Drosophila melanogaster: one gene and its partner. The gene in region 2 interacts genetically with the main gene of each other region. Each region holds a gene or a part of one and is shown on either strand. Other genes may lie near its edges.

Region 1 (5,046 bases), 4.6 Mb from region 2:
CGCAAATGGGGCATATCACCGATAATAATAATTAGTATCAGGATCAGGTGCTATTTTAAATAATGGCCAGATTTCGAACAGCTAATTTGGGCTGCCTTTCCCCACCATTTCCACCGCTTTTCCTGCTCAGGCGAGGAATGCAACAATGTCACTGCATTCATTCAGTAAATAATATGTCCAACTGTTTGCTTATCACTCAACCGTCACCGTCTGTATTTGTTCCAATCCGCACTGTTTTGAAAAACCCGTAAGTCTATGCGGGACTTCCCCATTATTTGCCAAATATGTCGAGACTTTAGTATCCGATTAGCTGGCGCCGCCATCTGTTCATAAAGTTGTCAAGTGGTGGGTAATAGTAGTATTACAGTCGCAGTCACGTCACGATGTGAGTCACCTGCTCCGGATGCAATTATCGATGGTGTGTGATTGTTGGTAGTGGCCCTATCCCCCCCCCCCCCCTCATTCCTCGCCCAAAATGCAAGTGGCCAAAAAGGTGGCGGGGAGCGAACGCAAAATGTCGTCAACTATTTTTATTTTCGGCCGAGAGACGCGACAGACAAACAACGAACATGAGAACTTTGGGGCAAAGATCCCACATTGCGAACGGAGGATCGGATCGGATCGGATCGGATGGGATCCCTATAAATAGAGGGACTGGTGGCTATGCTCCTGCGAATCTTTCGAGGGGCCCCGAACGCATTAATTATTCAACTCTTCCATCGATTGGCAAGCGTTCAATTTGTTTATTATAAAAGCAAAATATTTTTTAATTGCTTTGGCGAAATGGAAAACACAAATTAGCTTGGCGTGTAGACAGACATTTACATAACTCGAAAGAACACAAGTTTATAATTATTTCAAAATCGTTTGGCATTACTGGGCATTTTAGTTTCGAAAACGATTTCCTATTTTTATGGCCCACTCTGCCAAGTGGCAGCTCAACCAGTTATACAGTTTTGTAACGCACTGCATTATGTACACACACTTTTTGCCTGGGGTTAATTACATTTTATTTTAATTTCACATTTCGTTTGCTTTGTTTTGATTTCCTTGACTTGCCGACGACGCAAAAGCCGAAACAAAGAAATGCATACTTACATATGTATGTATGTATGTATGTATGTATATTTGTATCTTTGCGCGCACGAGACAAGTGCGAGCACTTTCCCACCCACAACCACCCAGCGTTCCCCCATTTACCCCACATGCATTCGCTACATGTCACTACGCTACATGTCATTATTGAAATGCCATTATCAACGAAAAGCGGAACTCCCTCTGTCAAAAAAAACACTTGTGATAGAAAACAAAAGGCCAGCCAGAAGTGAGCTTTTCACCAACAATAATGGGGGAGAATACCTAAGAAAACCGATTTATTCGTTTGTGGTTAATCACAAGCAAGTGCAAGTAACTCTGTGATCAATATGGAGATACTGAAAGGTATTTACCCAACACTGTTTCAATCAGTTGAGCTTCTTCAACACCAGAGATGTGCACTCCGAAACAAAGGTCGAAAGGTATGGATTTGACCAAGAGATATCACCAAGAGATTTTTCTATTTCCCATTTACTCAAATGCAATTGTGCAACACTGAACGAGTCTAGTGTAGTGTTAATATAGCGAATTCCGATGCCAGATAGCCGGGCATTCCCTACTTTAGCTTCATGATCATTACCACGCCGAGATCGTGATGATCGTTGCTGCAATCTCGCTATCGGCGCTCGGCTTCGTTCGTGTGTTCCGCATAAGTGCAGCAAAAAAGTGCAAAAACACCAAGTGAAATAAAAGAGCAGGGAGAAAACACGGTTCCGTATAAATAAAACAGACGACAACAACAACAACAACGACGAGTGGCAAACTTTGGGGACAGAACTGGGGGAACAAAAACCGAGGCAGTTTGCGCTGAATTTTCACACGAAACAGACCGCGCTTCATACAGCCAGATCCAAATGGATCTTAAATTACTTAAATAAACTATATAAAAATAAACGAAATAAGCATATCATTTTGATTGAAAAAAGGAAGCGGTTAGTGCAAAGTGCGTTCGCGATTCCGATTGCGATTCCGATTGCCAGTGATATGTCGACGGCCCTGGTTTATTGGCAGTCAATGAATGGCGGCGATCCGGTTGACAAGGCCACCGCGGATTGGGCGCCATTCGTGGTTGGTGCAGCAGCTGGTGGCAGCTTCAGTAGCAGCATCATCACCAGCAGCAGCAGCAGCTTGAACCACCATCCGCACAACGGCCACCACAATCACCATCATCCGCCTCATTACATCAATTATTTGGCGCAAATTGGCTGCCAGCATCGTGTCAGAAATTGGCCAACAAATGGCAATCAGGATCAGGCGGATGACGACGACGCTGGCCATCAGATCATCTCTAAATTCCTGCCCAAAAGTGCCTGGGACACGGTGCTGTTGGATGTGAAGCGGGATGTAGATGAAGATGGAGATAGAGATAGAGATCGGGTCGATGGCAATGTGCTGATGGTTCAGGGATCGTCATCATCATCATCGAGAATGAAGGCGGAACGGGCACTCTATTATACTAGTAAGCCCATTGGATGAAACAGAGAAGTTGGCCTAGAAAAATTTGTTGCATGTCAGTTTAACTGACCGACAACTTTTTTTTTTGCGTTTGCACAATTAGTCAACGAATAGAAAGGAAAAGTATCTTTGCTCTCGCCACATGTTTTTTTGGAAATTAGAAATGGAGTGTTGGAATATCAAATGTCGCGGATTATCATCGAAAACACAGCTGCTGCCACTTACAGGTTTTACCCTGTTGCTTGATTTTTTCATTCTTGTTTATAACGTTGGGTCTATTTTTGTTGCACAAGCCATCAGCGAACGAAGAGCGAAGAGCAACAAAACAAAAAGAGTGAGCATGTGAAATGGTCATAGGAACGTGGGGAAATAGAATCTACAAACGGCAGAATTATGTATCTGCGCCTGCATATTGTGTAATAATTTCAGTTCAGTTCCGTCTGGTTCTAAAATTAAGGTAGAGCTTCTTTTTTACTTACCTCTGCTGGCCTGCCAATGCACAGGAAAAAAATATTGCTAGCAAAAGTAGATTCTTCGGAAAGGAAGAGAAATGTTCCAATTCGTTTTTTTTTATATGGCAGCATCATGTGCTTACTATCTTTAACTCACTAGTATGACCACCAATTCAACAACTAATTTTAGAACGAATTTTGCATCTTGAGTTAAAAAAAGAATGCATGACTCTGGGCTGGCTCTATATCAGATCTTAAATGGGAATTGGCAGTGTTTTTCCTGCGGTGTGTGTCCACACTTTTCGCCCTACCCTTTGCTTTTATTATCGTTTTGGCAACTCTTGACGCTGACGTAGTCAGGTGTGCAAGAAAACAGGTGCATTTTGCAGAGGAGCGGTGTCCGAGCGATCCGGTCAATGAACCAGCACAGAACGGCGCACAACGAAGGCGGCAAGCAAATACATCGCAATAATTATATATACACACATATATATTTGTATAATTCCCGCCGATATCTGATAGTATCTCTGATCTCTTCCTTTCTCTTACGCTCTAGTGTCCGCTTATGGGTCCAGCGGCGGCAGCGTCGACGCAGCGCAGGGCAGCGGAAGCGGGGGCGGAAGACAGCGCCACGCCCCACTCTACGGGCGATTCGTCGACGCAGAGGATCTGCCTGCCACGCACCGGGATGTCATGCACCATGTGAGTATTATCAACTAGCATTATCCTTATCTTCAATCCAAAACATGCATTTACACACAAAGGACATGCAGAAGTTGTGTTTCTTTCTTTTAGAAATTGTAGAACATTTTTTGTTTAGAAAAAATCCACAAATATTTCAACGGAGCCGTGTAAAAGATAACTTTACTTCGTTGAATATGAACTTACTTTTTCCCATGCTCTACTTAAATTAAAACATGCAATTAGAAAGGTTTATGGCGCATTTGAGAAAGCCGCGCCCTCGGAAGAACAAAGAATGGTATTTTTCAGGACTGGTTTTGCCTTTCTCAATGCGGCCATTAAGACTGCGTATTTATGTTAATAACGAAGCTTAGCAAGTACATTAATAATGTTGTTTTAAGAAATTAAAGAGATTGTGTTCAAAATAAAAATGATTTGATCTGAGCACGATCTGAGCCAAAGCTAGCTGGGCATCACTTTATTGAACAGTTTGAGTAATACGTTCTCCATCTCATTCCACAGCACTCTAGTCCCTCGTCTTCGTCGGAGGTGCGCGCCATGCAGGCCCGGATTCCCAACCACTTTCGGGAGCCCGCCTCGGGACCTTTGCGCAAGCTGAGTGTCGATCTGATAAAGACCTACAAGCACATCAACGAGGTGAGTGTGGCCCATAACTGGCGTTTAATCTGGTTAATCTACAAGCAAAACATATGAGAACCAATTGATAATTGGATATTTGATCATAAAATCCTATGTTTATCGTGGCAATATTGAGTTTGGATCATGTTTACCAGGTTCTCTTGTCGTTACAATGCACATAACTTTTCTGTTTTCATTTGCATTAGTAAATAGTGATTCTATTGATATTTTAGCTTGGCAAGATTCCATATCATTTCAAAAAGTATATTCTATCTAGTTTATGTAACTGTCTACCTTATCAATTACCATTGCGATGATGTTGTTCTTGTAGTCTGCAAAACTACGAAGGAACCTTGGCATCCATCCATCCCGATTTCTTTCTTCTTTTTTTTTTATTTACGCTTATATGTCGATCGGAATTTCGTCGGGGGCTTTTCTCGTCTTGTGGCTTTCTTTTTTCGGCTGTCTGACTATCTGCTGACAGCGGATATTTGTGGCGTTGAGCTGGGCTAAAGATACGTTTGTCCTTGACCCGTTCGTGGGGTCAATTCCCCCAACAGCGTCACCGTTCCCCCGCAGCCAGCCATTTGCAGTTGGCTTCGATTGACGTCGTCTGCCGCCTCGGTTGACAACAGCCGAAAAAAAATAAATAAATAAAAGGAGCATAAATGCTACACGCAACTGTCTCGGTTCTCCTGCCAAGTTCCCAAATTTCTCAACGAGA
Region 2 (6,702 bases):
ATATTCTAACTTCTTTATCAAAAATATACCCAAAAGATTGGAAAATGCCCAGTGTAAATGATCTAATGAGGGAACATCTTTTAATCAAAACCACATTTTTATGACGGTACTTTTAGTAGTGCAAACAATTCTAAATTGTCAAGACCTTGTCCGTTTACATTTGATTCACTTATTGGAGAAATGAAGGCTTGCAGGCGCAAGGTTATCTTGAATTCTGCATAAGATAATGCGAAACCCTTCAAGCGGAACTCCTCGTCTTTCTTCCCCTTCCCACGATTGATTTTTCACAAGCGCAAAAAACACCCACGCACATCTCGGGAATTTGTGGCCTTCGATTTGTCCCTGATGAACAGTTAGGCGGAGAGTGGAAAACCGATCGACACTTGTTTACAATCGCAAAATAGTAATAAATAGAGAAAAGCCGTTTTCAAGTTTGCCATAACAACAACTTCAGTGTGACGCTGGCTGGCTGAACTGGGTAGGGGCGGTGTGGGACGCGGACGGCTGTCCTTATGCGGTAACACTTAAAATGAAGTTACGTTCGTGTGTGTGCCGCCAGGCTGTCTACGCTCCCATTCGAGAAAACCGTTGCTTTTACATACATACATGCACAAGTGTAAGGCTCTGCGGGTGGTGTAGTGCAGGGGGATGGGAGAAGCGGGTGGTAGGCCTTAACTAACATAAGATGGCCACACTTTCACGAATCGATCTTTCGTTCATAAAATGCTACAACTACACTACAGCCCATTCACACACATTCACTTAAAAAAATTGAATTATCCAAGCTCACACAATCGCACGCGAGTACCCACAGGTGTAGCTGAACTTTTTCAACGGTTACCACGATTAGCCGCTTTCTTTAGACACAAAACTCATACATTCTTTGCACGTCAAAATCGAAATAATTGTGATAAAAGCAAAAACAATATATAAAACGAAACGAAATGAGATTCTATTTTTAAAAGGTGCACTCACACACGCGCGTACGTTTGGCAGTGAAATGTGTGAGGGAGAGGGGGCGAGCCAGGGTAGTAGTAAAACAGTGCCGAGATTGTGCGCGCGAGCGATGTAGCACTATTGGCTACACGGTCACACACACACACACAGGCGCCAGGCAGCGTACGAATTACGCAAAGTGAAATATCTTTCTCAAAATGGAAAGTGGAAAAGTGACGACGACGGCTATTAGGAATTTTTCATACATCCACGGAACACAAAAAATGTACAAAGGCAAATGCGTATATAAAGTGTATAAATTCATACTAAGATAGAAAACAAATGGGCGAGGGGATGGGTGGCGAAGGTGAAAATTTGACCGCAAAACGAACATCACGAGGCGAACGAGGTCGCGCTGCCGAAAGTCCCGTCTCTTAATGATATCCCACAAATTTTAACGCCAGCCAAGCGACATCATCGTTTTGCACCGCAAAAGGGCCTTTTTCCGGTCGAATTAAAGCAATTTTTTTTTGCACAACACAGAACTCACTTTTTAATCCTATTTTTTTTGCTAGTGTGGCCGCACGCCGAAACGAAGTCACCGTCACTAGATTTTGAAGATAGGTTAACTGTTCTTCGATAACTATCGAAGAACTATGCCTGATGCATGTATGGTTGGTGTACTTGCTAACAGATGAGCAGAGGCCTTCTTAATGTTCCATTTACACAGAATTCCATCATATGGGATTTGAAAAATATGCTTCAAACTTAATAGTTTTTGCACAAAACGCCAATCGAATTATATTTCCAGTTCCAGGGAAAAGATTTCTGGGTGGAAATAAACACACAACTTTCAATTCTTAATTAGACTAAAGTCAAGCCTAGAATATTATATATTACAGTTCAATATAATTTAATACAGAATTTTGTTTTAAATAAATAGTATTTTGTTTATCTGGTATATAACAATGATTTTGCACAAGGTATTTCTTATAGCTATCTGCGCGGTCACACTGTTTTTGTGTGAAAATTCTGTCGAAAAGAATGTATTAAAAGTTCTTTGAATACTAATTCCGTGTAATTCCGACCGTGCTGTTTCAGAAAACTGTGGTTGGATTGGAAACTTAACCAAATTATAAGGTAAAACCGGGGCAGCTTGCCCATCGAAGGACCGCCACAAACGAATTTTCGCGTCGCATTACGTTTTAGTGTTGCCACCTTATACGGAGTGCCGGGCACAATTCCACTTGCTGGCCAAACGGATGCGTTGCGGTCGCGATGTGCACGCCGTTGAATTAATTCCTTCGCCCTGTTGATTGAGTACAGTTCGACTTCTCCGATCGGTGTCCTCCAGACCTAAATTTCGCCGGAATAACGACGGCAAACGGACGGACGGACTCTAGTCGGAAAACGGGCGAGCTGGCAATACTGCCAGTGCACAAAATGATGTGAATCTCGGAAAAGAGGAAAGCTACAGGAAAAGCCAAGGAAAAGCAAGCCGGTAAAGTGTGCAAATGCGAGTGGCAAGCAAAGACCTTTGTTTCCCATTCCATGAAGTTTTCTTGAGTTGTCCGCTGCTGTGAGTGGTCATTATCAGCCATCATCATCATTGTCGTCATCATCACCAAAGGAGCTCGTCGTCATTAGGCCGGCCACCAGCTAAACGGCATTGAGAAAACTCAGCAGCACCTTGTCATCCAAGTCTTGATCTTCGTCTTGGTCTGGATATCCGTATCCAATCACACAGTTCAGGTGGGTTCTTGATCCAGACTCCGAATTCGAATACGAGTCCTAGATTCTCATGCTGATCCTTTTCCATATCTACAGTTATGTCCTCGACCGCCGGAAAGCGCAAGGAGATCTACAAATATCTCGCGCCATGGCCACTGTACTCCATGAACTGGAGTGTAAGGCCGGACAAGCGATTCCGGCTCGCACTGGGCAGCTTCATCGAGGAGTACAACAACAAGGTACAGATCATCAGCCTGGACGAGGACACCAGCGAATTTAGTGCTAAGAGGTATACCGAATATTTGTTTAGCTGATCCCTTCTACTTTCTGTTTTCATTTTATATTTCGTATATTATCTTTAAAAAATAATATAAAATGATAAGCAGTTTTGATATTATTGTAATCATTTTAAATATGAATAGTTATTTGGTTATACGAACCATTTTTCCGAAATCCCCTTCCTCACTGACAGATTATTTCTTCTTCAAATAGCACCTTTGATCATCCATATCCGACAACCAAGATCATGTGGATCCCGGACTCCAAGGGTGTCTATCCGGATCTGTTGGCCACCAGTGGCGACTACTTGCGGGTGTGGCGTGCCGGGGAACCGGACACGCGGCTCGAGTGCGTACTGAATAACAACAAGAACAGCGACTTTTGCGCTCCCCTCACTTCGTTTGATTGGAACGAGGTGGATCCCAATCTGGTGGGAACCTCATCGATAGACACAACCTGCACTATCTGGGGACTGGAGACCGGACAGCCGCACGCTCGCGTCTATGTGGCAGGACACGTGAAGACGCAATTGATTGCCCATGACAAGGAAGTATACGACATTGCTTTTTCGCGGGCCGGCGGCGGTCGGGACATGTTTGCCTCGGTGGGAGCGGACGGGTCGGTGCGCATGTTTGATCTGCGGCACTTGGAGCACTCGACCATTATATATGAGGTAAGTAGAACGCGCGAAAACACAAAAACGGATGACTACATAACGATAAATCCAATAGGATCCTGCTCATACGGCGCTGCTGCGCTTGGCCTGGAACAAACAGGACCCGAACTACTTAGCCACCGTTGCCATGGACTCGTGCGAAGTAATAATTTTAGATGTTCGTGTTCCTTGTACACCCGTTGCAAGACTGAGCAATCACAGAGCGTGCGTCAACGGTATTGCGTGGGCGCCGCATAGGTGAGACTATAAGATTCCTTAAACCTAAAATGTGCCTAAACAATTTGTATTTTGGTTTGCAGTTCCTGTCACATCTGCACTGCCGGTGATGATCACCAAGCACTGATCTGGGATATACAACAAATGCCACGTGCAATCGAGGATCCAATTTTAGCCTATACAGCTGCCGAGGGCGAAGTCAATCAGATTCAGTGGGGTGCCACACAGCCCGACTGGATAGCCATTTGCTATAACAAAGCGTGCGAGATCCTGCGGGTCTAAGTAATTTTTTTTGGTCTGGTCCTTGCTGAAGCACCTGACTGCAATTGCTGAACAACGCACAGTCAACAAAGAAGCAAGTCAGAAAAACACACAACACCCACAAATAAACATACATTTGCTGTTGGTAACTTGGAAGCGGAAAGCAGTGAGCTTAAGTTGGATTAGTTCTGTCAACACGCGTCCGCAGTTTGTTTAATTTTACTGTCTGTCGAGAGAGAGAAAATGTGAAAGTGACGGATATAGAGGCAGAGAAATGGAAAGAGAAAGGGCTTAAAAGAAAGATATGAGTTTGAGGGAAAGAGAAGAGGACGAAGCACTTATTCTAGAATTCTTAGCTGAGTTGATCTAACAAGTATGTAATTATATAAGGTATAACCAAAATATGTTTTATAATTGTAGTTTATTTCACACTTGACAAATCCCGACACTCACACCCCCGAAAACTCCAATCAATTAGAGCCGCTTAATCTTTTTTATTTCGTTTTTATACGAACCCAAATGGAATGCAGAAGAAAAAGAAATCATATTTATTATAACACAATGTCCTACCTCGTTTTTTCAAACATGAATGCTGTTAATCGAGTTTTCGAGTCTGGTCAAAACAGCAACAACCACAAAAATACACAGAGAACAAAAAATGAGAGGTAAAAAAGTAGCCGGCAACAACGCTTTTTCGAAATATTTTTACTTTGTTCGATTTTTGTAACAGATCCAAAAAACGGAAAAACGACAAAAACAAGAGATAAAGAAAAACAAAAGCAAAACCATGGACTTAAGCAATTGCAAAACAAACATAATATGAAATGAATTAAAGAAATAAGCGAAATACTTACATAGATTAAAGATTAAAAACCAAACCAGGAAACTGATGACGAACTGCACACAACACAGCTAGAATACAATACTATTTAAAGATACAAACTAAAAGATAAAACAAATACCGAAATATATGAGCGAGAGAGAATACAAGATTGTTGCTATATCCATTTAACAAACGAGCGAAAATAAGCAAACAAACTATGATCATTTCAGATAAGACACGACCCTCCATCAATAATCTCAAATCTTAACCACATCCCATACTTTCCACAGGACAAAGCGACTTTTTCAGATAAAATCGAATACATTTTTTTTATGTATCTTGTAATTTATAGCAATTTCACAACTTATATATAAATATGTATACAGAAAGCGATAGCAGTAATAATAATCCCGATGATCGTGTATTGTAAATACAGCATGAAAGGCATATTTTAAACGAAAACCAACTTAGGCCCTGATTTTGTATAGCCATTTAAGAGGCCACTTCACGGGAATTTATATCCTCATATCCGAATACTTTTTCGTTTGCTGCAGAAGAGTAAGAAACTGAAATCAAGTCTATGGAATTTGGAATTGGATATATTTTATACGCTCGTAGCCACTAGGCGAAGACATTTTCATTAATTTGGCAAACCACGGTTTCCGTAAAAAAAATAATCGAAAAAAAACCAAGTTAGAATATAATTTTTAATTTAATCTTTATTTTCGTGTGCCCTGTTTTGCATTATCCGACTTACGTTACATTTATATATGAAATGTATATGTACACAAACACACACACACACACACACACACACTCAAGCGCATATATATATGAGCATCCGATCGGGCTAAAGTATTTACTAGAAAGCTAATGATTGATCGATGGAATGGATGGATCACAAAAACCAAACAAAACAAAAGATCACTGAGGAGTTTGAGAAAACAAACCAAATCAGACAAATATTTAAATAAACCATTTTTAAATAATGAACACAGTCTCAAATTAAATCGGGAAGATCTTCGGGTGCACAAATGTTGCTGATGTCCACTACTCCTCCGTGAAACGCTTCCTCCGGTTTCCCATCTTTTTTTCCTGCATCAAAAGGGGCGGCAGGGCTACATGAAAAGGTAGCTAGGATTTGTGGTTCATGATATACAATGAACTGGATGAACTTACCTTTTAGTCGGGCTTTTCTTGGCTATCAGCAGCTCGTTAACTTTTAGCTTCTTAAGATTGACCACAAGGTGACCTGTAATCTGGGAACGCTGCACAGTGGACTCATCCGGCTTGACCTCCTCGCTGTACGCGATCTGGAAGATCTTTTTTTTGACGGTGACTCTAGTGTATGTGGTCTGCACATCGACGTCAATTAGAGAGGTATCCAGGTGTCTGGGCGAAGGAATATACATATGCAATATTAATTAAGAATTTTGAAGTGTATGTATATGATTGGGGCGTAGAAACGATCAAGCAATACCAATATCGATATACATATGTAATATGTTGGTGATAACTTGTAAGATATGTATAAGTTTGGTTAAGACATCTTAGCCTAGCTTACCTGTACACCTCCAGTTGGAGCAAGTAATGGTCGGCCTCATCCCGAAACTTAAAGGGCAGTTTGGCCTGGTTCAGATTGTAGGGTCTGCCACAAGGAGCGAAGAGGTTGCGCTGTGGCTTCAGAGGGTCCAGTGGGGACTTGGTTTCGTGCCGCTCCCGTCCCAATCGGTGTTGCCGAGCGATCTCTGTGCGAATCTCCGGGCAGTGCTCGCTCTTC

The links.
Region 1: of wap (region 2) and mnb, changing one suppresses a phenotype caused by changing the other (phenotypic suppression), as found in Drosophila melanogaster (one study listed by BioGRID).

Annotation. Positions count from the first base shown.
Region 1 is NC_004354.4:17,871,913-17,876,958, reverse strand, and holds the start of mnb (minibrain), read left to right. Parts: upstream 1-1,918; 5' UTR 1,919-2,079; coding exon 2,080-2,554; intron 2,555-3,558; coding exon 3,559-3,704; intron 3,705-4,205; coding exon 4,206-4,340; intron 4,341-5,046. UniProt on the Drosophila melanogaster protein: Role in the specific control of proper proliferation of optic lobe neuronal progeny.
Region 2 is NC_004354.4:22,450,648-22,457,349, reverse strand, and holds wap (wings apart), read left to right. Parts: upstream 1-1,927; 5' UTR 1,928-2,076; exon of another isoform or gene 2,077-2,290; 5' UTR 2,291-2,688; intron 2,689-2,763; 5' UTR 2,764-2,765; coding exon 2,766-2,956; intron 2,957-3,159; coding exon 3,160-3,619; intron 3,620-3,677; coding exon 3,678-3,859; intron 3,860-3,921; coding exon 3,922-4,120; 3' UTR 4,121-5,905; downstream 5,906-6,702. Other genes in the region: tilB (touch insensitive larva B), read right to left, coding at 5,923-6,040, 6,102-6,314, 6,487-6,702.